Linked DNA regions of Canis lupus familiaris. The protein of the gene in region 5 interacts with the protein of the main gene of each other region in a biochemical or structural test. Links are inferred from orthologs where the notes say so. Each region holds a gene or a part of one and is shown on either strand. Other genes may lie near its edges.

The links.
Region 1: the proteins of GABARAPL1 (region 5) and TBC1D2B form a complex in vitro, tested with the Homo sapiens proteins (2 studies listed by BioGRID and IntAct). The link is inferred for Canis lupus familiaris from reciprocal best matches to the Homo sapiens genes GABARAPL1 and TBC1D2B.
Region 2: the proteins of GABARAPL1 (region 5) and NEDD4 form a complex in vitro, tested with the Homo sapiens proteins (2 studies listed by BioGRID and IntAct). The link is inferred for Canis lupus familiaris from reciprocal best matches to the Homo sapiens genes GABARAPL1 and NEDD4.
Region 3: the proteins of GABARAPL1 (region 5) and KBTBD6 form a complex in vitro, tested with the Homo sapiens proteins (2 studies listed by BioGRID and IntAct, with this or other methods). The link is inferred for Canis lupus familiaris from reciprocal best matches to the Homo sapiens genes GABARAPL1 and KBTBD6.
Region 4: the proteins of GABARAPL1 (region 5) and STK3 form a complex in vitro, tested with the Homo sapiens proteins (2 studies listed by BioGRID and IntAct). The link is inferred for Canis lupus familiaris from reciprocal best matches to the Homo sapiens genes GABARAPL1 and STK3.

Annotation. Positions count from the first base shown.
Region 1 is NC_049224.1:58,780,975-58,785,319, forward strand, and holds the start of TBC1D2B (TBC1 domain family member 2B), read right to left. Parts: upstream 2,902-4,345; coding exon 2,835-2,901; intron 1-2,834. UniProt on the Homo sapiens protein: GTPase-activating protein that plays a role in the early steps of endocytosis.
Region 2 is NC_049251.1:21,502,998-21,507,129, forward strand, and holds the start of NEDD4 (E3 ubiquitin-protein ligase NEDD4), read right to left. Parts: upstream 2,891-4,132; 5' UTR 2,454-2,890; coding exon 894-2,453; intron 1-893. UniProt on the Homo sapiens protein: E3 ubiquitin-protein ligase which accepts ubiquitin from an E2 ubiquitin-conjugating enzyme in the form of a thioester and then directly transfers the ubiquitin to targeted substrates. Specifically ubiquitinates 'Lys-63' in target proteins.
Region 3 is NC_049243.1:9,450,737-9,455,045, forward strand, and holds the start of KBTBD6 (kelch repeat and BTB domain-containing protein 6), read left to right. Parts: upstream 1-1,409; 5' UTR 1,410-1,794; coding exon 1,795-3,936; 3' UTR 3,937-4,309. UniProt on the Homo sapiens protein: As part of the CUL3(KBTBD6/7) E3 ubiquitin ligase complex functions as a substrate adapter for the RAC1 guanine exchange factor (GEF) TIAM1, mediating its 'Lys-48' ubiquitination and proteasomal degradation.
Region 4 is NC_049234.1:1,025,005-1,029,228, forward strand, and holds the start of STK3 (serine/threonine-protein kinase 3), read right to left. Parts: upstream 2,841-4,224; 5' UTR 2,651-2,840; coding exon 2,625-2,650; intron 1-2,624. UniProt on the Homo sapiens protein: Stress-activated, pro-apoptotic kinase which, following caspase-cleavage, enters the nucleus and induces chromatin condensation followed by internucleosomal DNA fragmentation.
Region 5 is NC_049248.1:10,359,412-10,362,452, forward strand, and holds the end of GABARAPL1 (gamma-aminobutyric acid receptor-associated protein-like 1), read left to right. Parts: intron 1-146; coding exon 147-265; intron 266-1,150; coding exon 1,151-1,216; 3' UTR 1,217-2,485; downstream 2,486-3,041. UniProt on the Homo sapiens protein: Ubiquitin-like modifier that increases cell-surface expression of kappa-type opioid receptor through facilitating anterograde intracellular trafficking of the receptor. Involved in formation of autophagosomal vacuoles.

The DNA.
Region 1 (4,345 bases), on a different chromosome or scaffold from region 5:
TTTTTAAGTGATCTTGCCATCCAACGTGGGGCTTGAACTCATAACTCCAAGATTAAAAGTCACACACTCTACTGAGTAAGCAAGCCCACCAGGTGCCCCTCGAAAGAGTGACATTTTGATGATTATAATGTTACACTTTGTAGACATCTAATTAAATGTCTATTGATTTAGATTTTGCTCTTTTTCTTGGGAGCCCGAGCATAATCATCTTTTGCTGTTTTTCTCGGGTTTTGGAATCCAGGTATACTTGTCCTTGGCTACAGACCTTTCATAGGTCCCTGGAGAACTTGCAGAGCCAAGCACTGGGCCTGCAGAATCTCACAGACTGGCCAGGCCCAGAGTGTGGCCCTCTGAGGACGCTGCACAGCCACAGGTCCTGAGACCCCAGTGAGCGGGACAAAGTGGCAACAACCTCTCAGCACAGTCCCTCCCCTCCATTCAGCTGATTAGAATTGGCCCCAGCCTCCAAGATCCCCCAACCCCCTATGATCCCCTAGATCTCTCCCAGGCCACCAGCCCTGCCCACTCCAGGAGGCTGGTTTTCCAGGAACAACCCTGCATGGTGTCACACCCCGTTCCGTCCTGAGGGCCCTGTGCCGGGGGTTGAGAGCTGGCGCCTTAGTTCGGCTTCTGCAGCCCCTCCCCCACCATCTTTCTGGACAAGTCTTGTAATTTATGTAAAATGCTGAAGAAATGCAGCTTCGGTTCCGTCCTTTCCAACCAGATCCCCTGCCCAGGGTTATCCTGCATGGGAACTTGCTGGCTCCCGGGTCCTCCCTTGGAGCCCTTCTCAAATGGCAGGTGGACATTTGCAGTTTTCAAAGTCCCTTTAGACTGAATGTCCAGGTCCTGTGGTCAGGGGCCAGCGTTGTGCAGCCTGTGTACCCTCCCACCACCATTTCTAGGATATGTCTGCTTGGTGCCACAGGGCCTGCCCCCTCTAGCCTCGTGGAGCCCAGTGACCAGAAGGAAGTGGCCGACCCAGGAGGAAGTGGCTGCTGTTTACCCAAAAGGGGAAATTAGGGCAGTGAGCTTGCTCCCACATGGCCAGCCCTGGGCAAGCCCCAGGGACACAGAGCCAATGACTCATCCTCGGCCAGTCTCCCTCAAGAGGGATGGGGTGGGAGGCCCAGCCACGTGCAGTCTCTGCACCTCACAGACTCCAGGAGGACAAGCTGGCCAAGGTGCCATCCTGTTGCAGGAGGAGCCCACAGTCCTTGGGGGAGTCCAGAGAGAGGAGACCTCACTGCCTGATATGCTGCCTGATAGCCGTGTCTGTGCCCTCTCTGGGCTGCAGGGGATGGGCAGCAGTTGATCTCCAATGGTCTGCCTGCCTGCCTGCAGCCCAGCTGTAAGGCCTGTGGGCCTTCTCCAGCTGGGCCAGTGAGGCTCTTCTGTTTCCAGCCTCTTGAGGTTTTCAGCCATCACAGCTGACCAGTCCCTTCCCTTTGGGCACTCTTCCATCCTGCCCTCCGCAGTTAGTGTAAGCATTACCACTGGGGGGCACAGGGTGTGTCTTCCCTGCCACCCCACCAGAGAAGGGGCCCTAGCTGCAGCCCCGTGGCCAGATGGCACAGAGGGAGCCCTCCTGTCTCTGAGCAGAGACTGCCCCATTATCTGGAGGTCAAGCACACAGGGATCCTGATGGGGCCTTGCTAACCCCGGAGCTTGGTGGAGGAAGTTGGTCTGGATGGGGGTGGTTTGGAGTTCAGGGTGTGGTGCTAGAGGGGGAACCGGGGAGCTGGGCTGGCTTCAGAACAGAGGCTGCATTGGCCAGGGAATAGCCCCCAGAGGGAGGCCCCACCACCACCTCCCTACCACGTGCTCCCATACCATCCTGCCCTGATGGGGTCATGGGAGGGAGCCCGAGTAAGGGGGGTGAGAGGGACTGTCACCACCCCTGCCTCTACCTCCATTGGGTGCTGTGCTGAGTCTCAGAAGGGCCTGGGCAGGCGGGATGGTGGCTTCAGAGAGAGAAGCCCCACCGCACCCCTCTGGCCTGGATTTGCAGACTCTGGCTTCCCGAAGGCCTCATTTCCCTGCCAAATGTGCAGGCAAATCTCACAGCCTATGGCTCCCCTTCCTGGGGGGGTGGGGTCACCTGAAGTGCTGGCCACTCTCTAAGCCCTGGGGCCCAGGGCACTGATGGAGGGCAGAGGGTTGGCAGGGGCTGGGGGCCAGCAGGTGAGGACTACACAGGAGTTGGGGGGACATACAGGCTGGGGAGCGGGGGAGGCCTGGACACAGGGCGGGCTGCAGGTACAGAGGCCTGGTCCTTTCTGTCCCAGTCCTGGTTCTCGGCCTGGCACCACAGCCAGGACAGCAGCCCGCCTGTCTTGGCTCCTCCCCAAGCCCCCTGCCCTCAGAATCCACCCCCCCCTCCAAGGCCTCCAGGCACTGCAACTCCCCTGTGAGGCCCTTTTGGGGGATGGAGGCATTTCAATGGAGGGAAGGTGCGGGCAGACGCAAACCACACAGCGGGAAGGCCCTGGTTAGGAGGGAGACCCCCGAAGGCAGGCAGGATACGAGGGCCCAGCAAGAGCCCCTTTGGAGTCTGTTGGAGTTTCTTTTGTATTTTGAAGTTTAAATATACGGCTAAATAGCTACTAATATTGATCCATTGCATTTTGAAGGTAGGTACAGAATTTGCAGGGAAAGGTGCTCCCGGCTGGGGGATGGTGAGGGCGAAGCAACAGCAGGTGGGCAGATGCCCCACACATATGGAGAGGCCCTGCCGCTGACTCCATCTTTGGCTGAGGCAGGCCAGGCTGTCTCTGGTCCTGAGTCTGTTTCCTGTCTTGGCAGTGAGGACAGACAGAGTCATACCACCTTGCCTGCCGGGACAGAGGACAAAGGAAACAGCGTGTACTGGAAGTGCTTGGTGCACATTAGGGGTGCCATATTCCCGCTGCAGGGGACAGTGAAAGTCAGGGCCCCCTGTGCAGGTGGCCAGGTGTGCCAGGCCCACCCGGCCATCAGTCTCCAATAGAACAAGGTTTTTAACACCCGGTCTCTGACCCCTGGTCTTCCCCCTGGGCCTTAATGTACCTCTCCCTGGTTGTCCCTCCTTCAGGCCTCATGAACACATGGCCTACAATTCTGCAGATTTTCATTTTTAAATGGGACTCAGAACGACTGGTGAGGCCAGATAATCTATGGAGAACACTTGTTCCTGACGCTAAAACTGAGAGGTAGTTCACAGGGAAGCCCGCTGGCCTGAGGGATGGTTTCCCTTTCCTCTGGGCAGGTGGGGAGCCCACAGCCCCAGGCGGGGTGCTCTATGGAGCAAGTGGGGCTGCTGTGGTTTTAGGACCATGGTGGGTCCAAGGCTCTCTTTGGGGTCCCATTTCACTTCATATCAAATATATATAATTTTAAAATGACAGTCACAAAAAAAAATAAATAAAATAAAATAAAATAATAAAATAAAATAAAATAAAATAAAATAAAATAAAATAAAATAAAATAAAATAAAATAAAATAAAATAAAATAAAATGACAGTCACATCTTACGTTATAAACTGTGTGCCTGTGTGTGTGTATATATATATAACTTTTTTCCTTTGAACTTTTGGGAAAATATTATTTTTATGATTGGGCTTTGAGAGTTCAATTGGTGACTGGTAATGATTTCTCAGCAGTTCTCCTGCACACTCAGAGGTCCTGGCGAGGGCAGACCATCTGACCTCCAAACCATTTTCAGATGCGATGAATCTTTTGTGAATTCTCCATCAAATTGATGCAATATTCCATTTATAGACATTTGCTTGCACACTTATTGTGATTTTATAGTTTCCTATTTTGGATTCTGGAGTCAACGCTGGTGCAGGCTGGGGCTGTTTCCTTATTTGAGTTTCCAGGACTGTGTCAAGGCCCTGGGACCTGGCCATTGTCTTGCTCCTGTGTGCAGTGGGTGCAGGGCCTGAGGACATCTCTGGGGGCCACCATCCACCCCAGAAGGCATGCAGAAACAAACTTGCTCAGAGGCGCTGAGGGGCCAGATTAAGGTCAAGAAACTGGTGACCTCTCCCGCCCAGCAGCAGTCCCTCCCCTGCGGGAGGGCCCCATATGACAGCGCTTGAGAACACAGTCCATTCATCAGCCCAGTCCTTTCATGTTTACTGATCACAAATACATGCAACCCCAAAAGGAGGCAATTTGGCAACATCTGTTGAAACCACAAAGGCAGGCGTCCTCTGACTGGAGCGGCCCCACTGGGGGATGTGTGCTGTGGGTGTTCTCACTTTTGTGCTCTGTTGAGTGCTCCTGAAGCTGTCCCCTGCCACATTGTTGGACATTGGGGAACCTTAGAAATGACCCAAGTGACCCCCTATAGGGGACTGGT
Region 2 (4,132 bases), on a different chromosome or scaffold from region 5:
AAAATCTACTTAAGTTCAAATACTTTGGAAAATCTATTTAAATTCAAATGCTTTGGAAAGGCTCAATTATATAAAAAACTGCTTTGGTTAAGATACATTAGAGTTAAATGACTAATAAACAAAATTACCAAAATAACAAATTAATAAGGTAACTAGGAGTATTTGGGAAATGCCTAGCAATTGAAACCAAATTCAAAAAATATAAAATTAGAATTCAATACTGTTGAAAGACTAAGTTACATTTTAGAAGGCAATCTTAACTGGTAGCTAAAGGAAAACTGGGTGGAAACAAAATTCCTGTGGTTAAGGGTATATACAAATGCAAATGCCAGTTATTTTTCCTGTGCTTTAAAACAGCAGCATAATAGTTTTTATCAATGTTCTACTAAATACGCATATTTTAGAGAAACATTTTCTCTGTGTTCATTTGTGAAAAGATTTTCACATTTTTATGTAGGCTTTTTATTGTTTAGTATTTTAAATAAGTATTCTATATTTTACCTATTTCACATTGATTAAGGAGGGGAGAATGCTAAATGAACATTTTTGAAAGTAGGAATAAAATATGGAGTTAGACATTAAAATGCTATATTACTTGAAGAAAAAAATATACCAAGGTAAAAATATTATGAAATAAATTATTATTTAAAGCTTGTTTTCATGCTACAGAAATGTTTCATGGTTTAAATCATTTTAGAGAGTTTTTTTTTTAATGCATATTTTTGACACTAGTAAAATAACAGAGAGTGAAAAACTATTGAAGTTTCCTCAGATTTACAAATACAAAGATTATGACTATAAAACACTTGCTAAGTTCTAATATATTTTAACCAAATAGTTCATAAAGCTTTTCTAGTATAAATTAACAATTACCAAGACCAAAGGAAACTTACCTTACAAGAATGCTTTAAAGAATTAGATAGTTCATTTGTGAAATCTCTGTTACTGTCTCTTGATAAGTTATCAACTTTATCTTCATTTCCAGGTGCAAATTTTATGAGTAATTGTGATGGTCCCCCCTTAGAACAATTGTGCTTGAGGCTGGATAAACAGGAAACATTTGGGTAAGTTCCTCCCAATGAAACACTTCTCTGTAAAATAGCATGGTTTTTGTTTATCTGTAAATTTGGTCTTTCCAACTGTCCATTGATATTTATTTGGTAATCTAGGTGTTGAGAGGATGGTAAACATGCAGATGTCCTCTGCATAAGCTTAATGCACTCTGAATGAGAATTAAGCTTGATTTCTGACATCTCTGGTTTGCAATCACCACTTGCTGTTTCACAATCTAATGTAGTTGCTTTTTGTTGGGTGAAATGCACTGAAACACAAGAAAACCCTTCAGACGACTTTTCACGGACATTCTGATTCAGACTATCATTCGCAATAACAATTTTCTTTTGTAATGAACCCTTCCTGTGAAGTGGTCGTATGTCTCTCACTTCTCCGGGAGTACAGATTGTTTTAGATAACCGAAGTCCATTGACAGCTGTTGAAAGAAATCCCTTAGTGCTACTACCATCTTCACTGTGGGCAATTTCACTAGGAGAAATAATAAATTGGTGTGAGGTTTGATAGGATCCTTTGCTTGGAAGAACGTCTGTACTTGTTGGAGAAGTCGGTGGGGTATTTAAAGGACTCCTAGGAAAAATGACTAAGGATGAACAACGTTTTAGTGGAATTTTCGAGTTCCTGGTCACTGGCAATTTCATAATTTCTAGTCCATGCTCCAAGTCATCCTGGACAAAAGGAACGGTACTTGGACTTCTTGAAAAAATGTCACATGGAGTAGTATTCCTGTTTGGCACACTTCTATTGGAGGTGCTGTCAGAAGATAAATTTCCACCAAAAAAAGTATCATCAGTTGGTGGAAAAGTATAACCACTGCTGTCACTGATGATACTGTTTGTGTAGGAACCACCACTTGTGATACTTGTGCATGATCCATAATCACTACCATTGCTGCTGTAAGACCCATTCTCACTGGTGGAAAAGTTACTGAGGCTCCCACTGTGAATGGCCGAACTGCTTACAAGGTTACCATCATTCACAGCATTCAGCTCATTCTCAGCCACAGCATTGTTGTAAATGCCATCCTTAAAGACAGATGTAAATGAAGCATCATCACCATCAGCTAAGACATTGCCAGACTGAAGACATCCACTGTACCTTGTTGGTTGTAGTGAAATCTGCAGACAGCTGCTCTTTTTATTAACATTTTCAGGTGAAGGAACAGATGATCTTTCCTGAGAGTTAACGTTTTCCTGTATCAACGGAGCTAGTGCAGTCTGTCTAGGAGTCAGCTTCATTTGAACAACGTTAGACGTTGAAATCCGTGTTGGTCTTTTGAAGCACATGTGAACATTGCTATCCAAATCATCTCCGGAGGTTTCTGACAAAGGATAAGTATTGCTTCTTCTGGCTGCAAAGTGCAATCGTAAGCTTTGTGCCATTTGTTCTCATTTCCAAACATGTTAAGGGCTGAAAGTCATAACAAAGATCTCTGTCGGTAGACAGGCTAGAAGCAGCTGCACTGCATCGAAGGAAAAAATCATTTGTGGTGCCTAAAAGAGCTCTTAAGCAGTAGTCTTTATCCTAAGTAAAACCTTAGATACCAGATATCATAGAAAGAAAAAGACGACCCATTCCTGAGACTGACGTTTCCAAATATTTTGAATCGCTTGTAGTCAAAATGCCTTCACTTACAAAGCACTTGATTTCCAGCGCCCTTTAAGCTGAGCTCAGCTGCAGCGCACTGCCTCAAACACTGCCAACCTTGTTTCAATTATACCTTCTCCAATTTGCATGAATGAGTAACACAAGAACAACAATCTTCTAGCATTTCAAGTTGAAACAGTATTTTTTCACTCCTGCTCTACTAAATGAACATTTAACTATGTGAATCACGGCGTCTATACTTTCTCCAGCAGAGTTTGACCACTAATATTTTTACCCATAGGGATAAAATTACAGGAAGTTGGTAGGAATGAAACCCCATGTAATTGAGTATCAAATCAAGGATTGAATTTCCAAACAGTAGACAAACTAGGAATCTTGTCAAGTTAGTTAATGTAGAAAGGCATATATTCTGTTAATTTTTTTTTTAATGAGTGAATTCAAACAGTTGTATAAATTTGGAAGTACCAAAACTCTGGGGTGAATTAAAACTCAAGCATTAAATCAAATAGATAAATATTTTAGCTTCCAAAACACTACTTATAAAAAGTGAAAGCTTAAGGATAGAAACACAAAATTAGCCTAGTAATACTATTGAAAAATTGAGCATAGGTCTGAGAAAGAAAAATTTAAGAGAAGCTGTCACCAAGCATTTTCTTCTGTAATTTTAAGGCCTTTTCCAGCCAAGTAGTACAGTCTTTAAATGATGCCATTTATATTTTGACTATTAAAACTCTGCCAAGAAATAGCCTAAGCAAACATTCCATTAAAAATATATGCAGATTAGACAGAAAAACTATACCCCAATATAGTTTGAGCACACAAGATATTTTATTCCACTGTCTCTGCAATTCATTCACTTAAGAGAGTGTTGTGGTAAGTAAAGAAGTCTAAAAAGGATTTAACACATCAAATAAACATATCTCAATGCCAAATCTGTTCTGAAAACTCTAAGAGCTCTTTGCTGGCCCCTACTGGTGTGCTGAAACAATCCATTTAGCTGTTTGATACCTATAAAGAAATACAAACCATGCTGCATATTTCTTTGTATAAACAAAGTACATACTTGTTTACATTTTTGAGTACTAGCCTTGCCCTAGAGGTGGAATTACTTACTACTGCTGATAAAGCTCCCACAGTAGAGAACAGTAGACTATTTGTCCTCCTAGAGGTTGTGATTTTGTATATATATTTTTTCTGCTTTGTATTTATTTAACCTTTACTTTATTTTCAGTTTACTAGGTAATAAAAGTTTAATATTTTAATTTCTCCCTTAAATGTCATAGACCAAGCTTGGTATTCTATTTGAAAGAAACAAATTTATTTTTAAATAATACTCTAGGGTATATTTAAACCCCTTACCTGAATTTTATAGCTGGAACTCCAGTAATAAATATATACTGGCTCATTCATAGGAAAGTAAAAAGTAAAATAGTTCAGTTGTTTACACCACATG
Region 3 (4,309 bases), on a different chromosome or scaffold from region 5:
AACTGTAAAAAACCCAAACCAAACGGAATGTCCTAGAGTGGATGATGATGGGTAAGTGAACTGCGGCAAATCTATACATACAACAGAATATCATTCAGTGATAAGAGAAATGAGCTTTTAAGCTGGAAAAAAGAAAGACATGGAGCCACCTGAAATGACTATTGCTAAGTGAAAGAAGATGTTTTTAAAAGGCTACACATTGTAAATAATAATAATAATAATAATAATAATAATAGGCTACACATTGTCCAGTTTCAACTATACGACATCCTGGGGAAAAAGTTAAAACGAGACAGCAAGGAAAATCAGTGGTTTCTGGGCGGGCGCGGGTGGGTGGGAGGGCAGGGAGAAGGAAGCATACAGGGATGGAACACAGGGAATTTTTATGGCCGTGGGGGCTGTTCTGTAGGTCACTGTAATGGTGGGCCCGTGACCTTACACCTTCTGCAGGACCCTCGCAACTGCACCCAGGAGCGGAACCCAATCTCAACAGCCCGCTGTAACCCACGATGACCCGGTGGCACGCACCCCCGGAGGCGAGGTGTCGGCCAGAGGGGGGACCGTCAGGGGGTGCGGGGGGTGGCGGCTCCCCGTGAAACCCAGCTCGATCTTGGGGCACCGGAAACTGCTCTTAAAAACCAACTCAAAAAAAAAAAAAACCCAAAAAACAAACCCAACTCAATCGCTAAAAAAGAAAAGAAACAACAACAACAAACAAAAACACCCCCGACTTTAAATCCAGAAGACACAACGGTGGTTGCCAGGGAAGAAGGGGGGGGGATGGGCGAAAGGCGATGGAGAGGACCCTTATCCTGATGAACACCGAGCAACCCACAGAATCACTGAAATCATACACCTAAAACTAATCTTTGGGGAAAGGAAGAAAAAAAGAATGTATTACAAAAAGGCGGGGGCGCGGAAGGGGCGGCATCTCTGAGGAAAACCTGCAGGGCTCTCGATTTTTTTCCCCCCCACGGGCTCCTACATCTCAAGAGGGAGCGCTCGATGATCTCCTAAACGAGCAAAGAGAAGCTAAAGGGCACCCGACCTCCACCTCACGGGCGCCGCGAGAGTCTTTATCAGCCTAACCCGCGACTGTGCAGTCCGAGCATCCTTATTTAACCTACGCAATTCACGTCGTCGTCGTCACACGGCGCTGGGACACACCGTCGTTATTCACATTAAAAAAAAAAAATAAAAAAAAAAAACCGTCCCGAGCGCGGAGCCCAACAAGGTGGCAGATACGAAAACCAGGAGGGCTAACCCGGATTCCAGGCTCAAAGTTCTAAAGCATAAAAGCGAACGGCCGAAAATTAGCGATTTCTAATTCCGTCGGCCGAAAACAATGAACGGCCGATAAATCTCGCGATGCCTATGGAAACTACCACTCCCAGCGTGCACAGCGGCTCCGGGCCATCCGCCTATCCCCTGGAGTCTGGAGGGGCCCCGGCATGCCTCGGGGCGCGAAAGGCAGCCTGGGAGCCGTAGTTCCGCTGGACGCCTACCGGTATTGCCAGCGCGGCAGTGGCGGCTCTCTCGGTTCCGTCCAGCCGGGTTCTGTAAGGCGAGCTGAGGCGGAGAAAAGGGCGCGGAACTGGAAGCGGGTGAGTCAGGCGCTGGCTACGTGATAAAGGGAGGCGGCACTGCGGCATACGGCTGGATTAGGTAAATGGACCCGTGCTGCAGTCTCTCCGGAGACGCCGCGATCTAGCGCCCGCGCGAAGAGGGCGAGGAGGAGCCCGCGCCCGGTCCGTGCACCCGTTCTCGCCCTCGTACCCCGCCGCCATCTCCACCATGCAGTCCCGGGAAGAGGCTCCGCGTTCTCGCCGCCTGGCCAGTCCCCGCGGCGGCAAGCGGCCCAAGAGGATCCACAAGCCCACGGTCTCGGCTTTCTTCACGGGCCCGGAGGAGCTGAAGGACGCGGCTCACTCCGCAGCCCTCCTGGCGCAGCTCAAGTCCTTCTACGACGCGCGGCTGCTGTGCGACGTGACCATCGAGGTGGTGACGCCCGGCAGCGGGCCCGGCACCGGCCGCCTCTTCCCCTGCAACCGGAACGTGCTGGCGGCCGCGTGTCCCTACTTCAAGAGCATGTTCACGGGCGGCATGTACGAGAGCCACCAGGCGAACGTGACCATGCACGACGTGGACGCCGAGTCCTTCGAGGTGCTGGTCGACTACTGCTACACGGGCCGCGTGTCGCTGAGCGAGGCCAACGTGGAGCGCCTCTACGCGGCCTCCGACATGCTGCAGCTCGAGTACGTGCGGGAGGCCTGCGCCTCCTTCCTGGCCCGCCGCCTCGACCTGGCCAACTGCACCGCCATCTTCAAGTTCGCCGACGCCTTCGGCCACCGCAAGCTGCGATCCCAGGCCCAGTCCTTCATAGCCCACAATTTCAAGCAGCTCAGCCAGATGGGTTCGATTCGGGAAGAGACTCTGGCGGATCTGACCCTCGCCCAGCTGCTGTCCATCCTGCGCCTGGATAGTCTGAACATAGAGCTGGAGCAGACCGTGTGTCATGTGGCCGTGCAGTGGCTGGAGGCGGCTCCCAAGGAGCGCGGACCCAGCGCTGCGGAAGTCTTCAAGTGTGTCCGCTGGACACACTTCACTGATGAAAATAAAGATTACCTGGAGGGGCTGCTGACCAACACCATTGTGAAAAAGTACTGTCTGGACCTTATCGAGGGGGCCCTGCAGATGCGCTATGGTGACAAGCTGTGCAAGGCTCTGGCGCCCAAGCCAGAGACCAGCAGTGGCAGCTGTGGCGGCGGCAGCAGCAGCAGCGGTGGCAGTGGCGGCGGCAGCGGCAGCGGCGGCAGCGGCGGCAGCGGTGGTAGTGGGGGCAGTGGGGTTGGCAGCGGCACCAGCAGCAGCAGCAGCAGCAGCTCCTCTGTTGTACCCATAGCTGAAAACCCACCCCAGAGGCTGGGCGTGTGTGCTAAGAAGATGGTGATCTTCTTTGGACATCCTAGAGATCCCTTTCTGTGCTGTGACCCATACACCGGCGATATTTACAAAGTGCCCTCGCCTCTGACCTGCCTTGCTCACACCAGGACTGTCACCACCTTAGCTGTCTGCGTCTCTCCAGACCACGACATCTACCTGGCCGCGCAGCCCAGGAAGGACCTCTGGGTGTACAAGCCAGCCCAGAATAGTTGGCAGCAGCTGGCCGACCGCCTGCTGTGCCGGGAGGGCATGGATGTGGCCTACCTCAATGGCTACATCTACATTTTGGGTGGGCGAGACCCCATTACCGGTGTTAAGTTAAAGGAGGTGGAGTGCTACAGTGTCCAGAGAAACCAGTGGGCACTGGTGGCTCCGCTACCCCATTCCTTTATATCCTTTGATCTAATGGTCATCCAGAACTATCTTTATGCCCTCAACAGTAAGCGCATGTTCTGCTATGATCCGAGCCACAATATGTGGCTCAAGTGTGTTTCCCTCAAGCGCAATGACTTTCAGGAAGCCTGTGTCTTCAATGATGAGATCTACTGTATCTGCGACATCCCCGTCATGAAGGTCTACAACCCAGTCAGGGGGGAATGGAGGCAGATTAACAATATTCCCCTGGTGTCGGAGACCAACAACTACCGGATAATCAATCACGGCCAAAAACTGTTGCTGATCACCTCTCGCACCCCACAGTGGAAGAAGAACCGGGTGACCGTGTATGAATATGACACTAGGGGAGACCAGTGGATCAACATAGGTACCACCTTAGGCCTCTTCCAGTTTGATTCCAACTTCTTTTGCCTCTCAGCTCGTGTTTATCCTTCCTGCCTTGAACCTGGCCACAGTTTCCTCACTGAGGAAGAAGACGTGCCGAGTGAATCTAGCACCGAATGGGATTTAGGTGGATTCAGTGAGCTGGACTCTGAGTCAGGAAGTTCAAGTTCTTTATCTGATGATGATTTGTGGGTTCAGGTAGCACCTCAGTGAAATGCACAGGATCAGCAGAGTTTGTTGTAGATAGGTTGAAACACTAAGGTGTTTTTACTGCTTTGGAAAGTGTCTTAAAGAGATGCCCTTTCTCTTTGCTGGGAAAAAAACAACAACAACACAGGTTGATTGATTTCAGGTTTGGTTTAGAAAGGGTATTGTTTGAAATACTAACATAATTTAATGTTAGGGAATTTATACACAAAGAAATCAACCTATTTAATAATTTACTGTTCTAAAAGTCCAGTATTGATTTGATTGTTGGGTATGTTTATGTTTGATTATACTAATTTAGTCTTTTGTTATTAAATCTTCTGTTTTGTGCCACAAGTACTGTGACTTGAATTTTGATTTTTAAAATAGAAAACCGATT
Region 4 (4,224 bases), on a different chromosome or scaffold from region 5:
AGGAGATAAGGCAGTGAGAACCAGGTCCTAGTGCCTGCCTCTACTCCAAACACAGCCTTCCTGCTAAAAAATTTTTTAAACCACTGCCCTAAAGTACCTAGTTGGAAGGCATTGCTGTAAATCAAGTATGACGGTCATAAAACCCAGGTATGGAGTAGTAGTATCAAAAATGAAAAACAGAAAAGAAAATGAATCTAGACTTCTTGATGGAGAATTCAATAGGACTTAGTGACAAACTAGAAAGAATAATGAAAGAATGGATCTGCATAAAAATATCAAATATTCCAACTGAACACACCTGCTGGTCATACAGACTTGAACATCAGCAACATAAATGTGACCATGTAAAAATGTCTGAGCCCTAAGGAAGTGCTCCTATGCAAGGCAGAAAAGCAAAGCAACATTCTTACAGGGATTAGGAAAAGAACAAGCAGAGGGCCCACAGGATCGTACAAAGACATGGCCACCACACCATGGAAGGCTAAAAGAAGTGTTTTTAAAAAGAGGTATCACTGTACACAATGAGAGGGTTCACAGCCTTTGCAGCCAATCAGATTCAGGGTTCTGGCAACTCCTCCACTTGACCAAATTATTTAACCTCTCTGAGTTTCATTTAATAAGGAAAAAATAAACCAACATTTAGCGTCGTTCAACACATTATGGAGCACTGTGCTAAGTGCTTTTACACATGACCTATTCTAATCCCCGTAACACACTTTACAGATGAAGAAATTAAATTTAGAACTAGCGTAATAAGCTGCAGAGCCATGATTCCTCTTTCTTATGACAATAAAATAAAGGAATGCATATACAAATTTCCTGGGGGAAAAAATGACCTCAAAAATGGCATATTTTATTATTAGAAGGTAATAATCAATAGGGAGGACACAAAAACTCACTTTCAGTAATCCCTGTCATAGCCTTCCATGGAGCAAACTCTTTGTGTCCTCAGCTACAAAACAGGATTACTTCCTGTAATCAAACTTACGTAATAGGGTTGCTATGATGATATTATGAAAATGAAAATGCTATGAAAAAAATTTAAGTGACATTCAAATATATGGGCTTAATGTCACATAGCTTGCTTTCCAGAAATGCCTTCCTGGAACAACGAAGTCTGTCTGAAGAGAACTAAAAATGAGCCTGTTGGAGTGCAAGCATCACTTTGTAAAGTATAAATGACCATGAAATGGTTATATATACCACCCACATCTCCCCCTGGCCCTTCTAGGTTTTCTAGAGCCCCTGCAAGGCCAGAGGATCTCTTATACCTATAAAGAAACCGATAATTTACAGCCAATGAATGAATAGAGCTTCTACTTCAATTTGGAGTTGTTCAACTTGACCTTTGGGCATCATCTCAGAGGTGGCCCCCTTACAGTCCTTCCAAAACAGAGAAGAAAAAAAGTTTCCAATTTTCTTCTAAGATACTAAAACTGGGTGCCCAATCAATACGAGAATTCAATACAAAATACCAGACAAAAATCAAGGGCTCTGATAACAAGTCTCTTTTGGACGCCCTTCCACACACCCACCTTTTTTCACCTGAACAGATGGTTTCCAGGCCTCAAGGCTCACATGTCTAGTCACACGATTCACAACAGCTCACAAAGTTCCTACCTTTTTAATTATTCCATGTTCCTGAATATATCACCTTTCGTCTAAAGATCTCTAAGTATCAGAACACAGGAACTCCTTAATCTTCACAACAGCACTCTCTGGGAGAAAGATTAGTACTCTTATTTTATAAATTACAAATGAAAGACTGAGATTACATGTTTTAAACAACACCAGTTAAATGACGTTGATTCATTCTTGGGGGGAAAAAAGATGCACATTATGAATTTATATCTCTGGGCAGCCTTGATTTAGCTTGATCATTTCAAATACTACTTTTAAAAGTATCTACTGTGTACTCTCACTCTTCCAATATATCAAAGATCAAACTAACAGTAAATACCAAAGCATCACTACTTCTATATGCTAGAAAACAAAACAAAGCACTATGCGGGGAAGGGGTTCTAATTTAGGATTCCTACTGTCTCGCATCCATAAATACTTTTGAACTTGAGGGCGGTGAGGAAGGAACACCTGTCAGTGCGGTACACCCTCAAGGTCCACACACTACGTAGCTGTTCCTACGGAATTCCTTCGACGGGAAACAAATAATCCGCCTTCTCAAATAAATGGCAGTATCACGAGAAACACTGGACAAAAGCGCCGAGAAGGCTGCGAGCAGCCTAATGCATGCCCCGTTTCGCGTCCCGGGCTCCGAGACTCGCCGGGAGGAAGAGGCCCAGGAGCGCGGCGGGGAGGCCGGCGCTCCCCAGCCGCTCCCCAGCCGCTCCCCAGCGACTCCCCAGCGACTCCCCACGCCGCCAGGCCCGGCCGCCGCGGCAGACGCCAGGCTCGGCCTCCCCGCGGCGCCCCGGGCCTGGGGGCAGCCGCGGCCCGGCCCCGCCTCGCGACGGCCGACGCGCCCGGCCCGGGCCCCGCCGCCGCGGAGGGGTCGCCGCCAGCTCGGGCCTAGCCGCCCCCGCCCGCGGCCGCCGGCCCCCCCGCCCTCCCTCCGCTCCCGGCTCCCGGCTCCCGGCTCCCGGCTCCCGGCTCCCCGCGAGCGTTACCTCTTGGGCGCTGGCGGCTGCTCCATGGCGGCCGGCGACAGAGGAACGGCCCCGGTGGGCGCTGAAGGACGCAGGGAGGACAGGAGCCGGGCACCGGCCGGCCGAGCCCCCGAGTCCCCGGGGAAAACCTCCAGGAACTCGGACCAACTTTCCCGTAAGTCCGCGGCGGATCCTCCTCCCGCTCGCGAGCGCCGCGGCCTCCGCGCCCCGCCCCTCCCCGCCCCGCCGAGCCCCGCCCAGCCCCGCCCCTCCGCCGAGCCCCGCCCCTCCGCCGCCCGGGGAGAGTGGGCGGAGCCAGCGGCGGCCCAGGCTGGTGGGCGGAGCCGGGCCCTGATGGGGCGGGGGCGGGGGCGGGGGCGGGGGCGGGGCCGAGGCGGAGGCGGAGGCCGAGGCCGAGGCGGAGGCGGAGTCAAGCGCCGGCCCCCGAGCTGCGAGCGGAAAAAGGGCGCGGAGACCCGCGGACCAAGGCCTAGTTAGGACCCGGGGCCTGTCTGTGCTGGCCGGGGGCGGGGGATGCACCTTCCCTGGAGCCGCTGAGAGCTGCCGCTCCGCATCTGCCTCCGAAAATTGGCTTTTGCCCCAATCCTATTTGACTCATTTCTTCTCTGGATTTCCCAAAGACACATCCCAAGCATCTTGTGCAGCCTTTTGAAGTGTCACTAACTGCCCACGCTTCTGTCTCTAGTTGTTTATAATTATGGGCTGTGTTTTACGCCCGCCCGGTTTGACGTTTGTAGCTACAGCACGAGGGATACTACTGGAAATTCTTGTTTGATGTTGATTGTGGACAAACTCCTCACTACATTTCGCTATAATTACGTCTGATTACAAAGAAAATTAGGACTGCGGTGAGATCCCAGTGCACAGATTTCATGCACTGTGGTCTTGCCAGCTGTTCGCTTGGATCACCTGGAAAACCTAAAACAAATTATGGTGCACAGAAAAGAAGTCAAGAAAAGTTTCTCTTCCTTCTTGTCACCTGTCTCCCCCAACCTTTTCCGAAGGCCCTGACCTCATTGTGATTTGATCCCTTCCTGCATCTATCTTTTTAGGATACCATTTAACATGAAGTTCCGTATATAAATATCTTTCTTATGATCATCTAAGGTGCTATGTAATGAGTTTGCTTTCATTAGAAATTATCCAGGTGTAGAGTCATAGAGGTTTCTTGAAGGTTAGAGCAAAGTCTATGAAGAGAATGTTAAATAAAGGAACTTTGTGAATATTAATCCAAATTAGACTTGTCTAATAGTCGTTTTCCTCTTTTTTGCATTGTTTCCATATGTAATAAACTTACATGATTTATTTTTCAAAGCACTATATTCCCCATTAAATTTAGTTATGTTAAATTTAAGACCATTCGTTGTTGAACCCTGAAGTCAGGTTCTGCAAAAAAGAGATTGTTATAAAATTTTATACTCCTTTTCATTTACTAAACATCGACGGACTTATAGTTCAGAACTAACAAGACAGCAAAAAGCTAAATTATTAAAACACAAAAACTAGGAAAAACTTTTGAAATTATGTCATTCTATCCCTCACTTCTCATCCTCACTTCCATGCCCTAGTCCCATCTTCTTCTATTTCATCAAAAAAATCT
Region 5 (3,041 bases):
TCTGCTGAGATTTTCTCTAAAGCTGGCACTTTAAGCGGTGGAGCAGGTGCAGCAGATTTTTTTTTCTTTTCTGGGCCTTCCCCTTCTCATAATCCCTTGTCTTCCCTAATTGCCTTCCTTTTCTAAAACCTTCTTCCTTTATCCAGTTGGCCAGTTCTACTTCTTAATCCGGAAGAGGATCCACCTGAGGCCTGAGGATGCCTTATTCTTCTTTGTCAACAACACCATCCCTCCCACTAGTGCTACCATGGGCCAGCTGTATGAGGTAAGTGTTCTGGTCACGACAATACTGTGTAGTCTCGTGTTCTCTAGCCTTTGTTCTGGAGTCTGTTGATAACACACCTGGGAAGTGGGGCAGGAGGTGTTACTTCCCTGTATCCACTTACACACAGCAGTGTAAGGCTCTGAGAGATTAAATGTCACTTGTCCTTTAGGGATTGAGCTGACTACTAGATTCATTCTCTTTGAGCTTTCAGTTTTGCCTTATTCTAGGGTTCTAATCTTGGATCATCTTTATTGAAACAGTAAGAAATTGTTTCTGATTGCAAATTCCAAATAAAATGAAATTTAAAATTATAAGGCAAAGCCTTTAAATTGATTCATTTGTCTTAACAGATAAACTCAGTTGGAGAGAATAATTTGCTGATTTCATTTGGTTTAATTGGTAAGCTGTCAGAATCTAATGAGAAGACTATTGGAAAGGACTCGGTCATGCTCTGTCACCCAGTTTTGTGGCTATATTCTTCCTTAAAGGATTTTACATTGTACTGCCTTCTTATTGTGCCCTGTGAGTTAGTGAATTGTGTAAACTTTCTAACAATCTCTCAATCTTATTTTTATTCCATAGCATATATTTCCTGTTAGTGTATATTCTGATATATATATATATAGTATATATATAGTATCTGTGTTCCCTTTTGCTAGAATGAGCTTTTTAAAGGGTCATGTTGTTATCCCTGATGTTTGTACGTATCGATACTCTTCTTGAAGATTTTTTGTGAACTCAGAAGTTGAATTCCAGTCACTTCTGTGTATTCTTATTTTTTGGTCAGTGGAGGCTAATGATGCCTTGCAAAACCTGCTTACCTTGTGTGAGGCTCAGAATCCTGAAGGTAATGAGTATGATGTTTCCTCTTGTTTCCTCCCTCAGGACAACCATGAGGAAGACTATTTTCTGTATGTGGCCTACAGTGACGAGAGTGTCTATGGGAAGTGAGTGGTGGAAGCCCAGCAGATGGGAGCACCTGGACTCGGGGGTAGGGGGAGGGGTGTGTGTGGGACTTGGGGAAAGAGAGGGAGGGCTCCCACCGTGGAGGAGACAGAAGGGGAAGACATCTGGAAACACTACACCGCACACACCGTCATCATATTTTCACATGCTCAATTGATAATTTTTGCTGCTTCCTCGGCCCAGGGAGAAAGCATGTCAGGACAGAGGTGTTGGATTGGCTTTGATAGAGGAATGAAGATGATTTAATGTCACAGCATTTCTGTGAATTAATTTCTGTGTGACTTCACAGAAGAGGCAGGAGGTGGGCAAGATGGGGCCAGAGATGATTGCAGACCACCAGTAACTTCCTGCTCTCCTTCCTCTTCGGGCAGAGATTCTATTTTTGACATTTGCAGAAGACAGGTAGGGAAAGGGATGAGGATGTCTTAGGACCACGAGTAGTAGATCATTCCTAGGGACCAAAAGAGACCCATTGTAATTAAAGCGTTGTGACCTTGACCTAGCTCCACACCTCCCCATCCCTGTCATAATTCCACTTACAGACACCACAGCACCACCTAGTGGTCCGGATAGCCATTAGGCAGATATTTAGATGGAGCGTTCTCACCACTGGAATACAGGGGCCAGGCATGAAGGATAGTTTGGCTATTAAGATCGTTTTGGTAGCATTAAACTGGAATTGACTATGTTGAGCATCTCTGTCTAACCTGCTCTCTCTCTGGTGCCCCTTATCCCACACCTCAGTGAGGACAACCATTTCCCATTATGGGCTAAAACCTCCTTCAGCATTTCCCAAACTTTGCTCCATGTGTAGGGACAGAGATGTCCTATGTATGGAAGGGGGGCAGGTATGAGGTAAGACAGCTTGTCTATGCCTCTGCCTCAGCCAGGATTCTTGTTCCCTTGTTCCCGCCTCTTCAGTCCCAGGCACACAGATCTGCTAAGTGATGGCCAGCTGCCTCCTGACTTAGGTTTCCATGTAGTGCAGCTGCTAGTTAGACAAGTGTGAGGGAATGACTTAATACTAAATGGGGATTCTATGGATTCTGATTATTTTCACTTTTGGGGTTATGTGGGTGGGGGCGGGGAGCAGGAATCGCACTCAGACGTGACATTTCAGTTCATCTCTGCTAATGAAAAGGGTCCTTCCTGTGGGAGAAATCTGTGTCCGTTTTGTCAGCTGCAGATTCTTGTGTAATGAAGTTTATGCTGTCAGGCCAAGGAAATAAAATAATTGCATACCTTGAAAACCAACCATGAGTTCAGAAATGTTGCTTTTATTGACTGTACTGTAGAATAGGTGGTGTGTGGACTCTGAGCAGAAAACTGAGTGAGGGTGGCTGTTAGAAATGGATGCTCACGTATGTCAGATGTATAGAGGTTTAAGTAAACCTCTTTACTTACCACGAGTTGTTATTCAAAGGTGAGCGTGGTGGGGTAGCATGCCTGGTGTGTTGGTGATACGTGTGTGATTTTCTGCTCCACAGATAAATGCTTTGTCATTGGTTTGTGTGTTTCTCAAAGCTGAAGATGGAACACTGCCTGGGTGAGACTATAAGGGGTAAGGCGGGGGTGTAGTTATTAAAAATGCAGATGTCTGGGTTTCATCCTACATTTAGCTGAGTCATTCTCAGCGTAGGTGTCTGTGGTGTTAACCAGCTCCTCCTGATTCTGCTGCATGCCGAAGGTGGAGAGGCATTGCTCTCAATACCTGGTTTTGTTTTGAGTGCCAACCAAACCTATTCTGTCTGCCACATTGTGGTTGGTGTGAGGCCACCATCTCCCAGAGCAGCAACTGGCACATACGTAA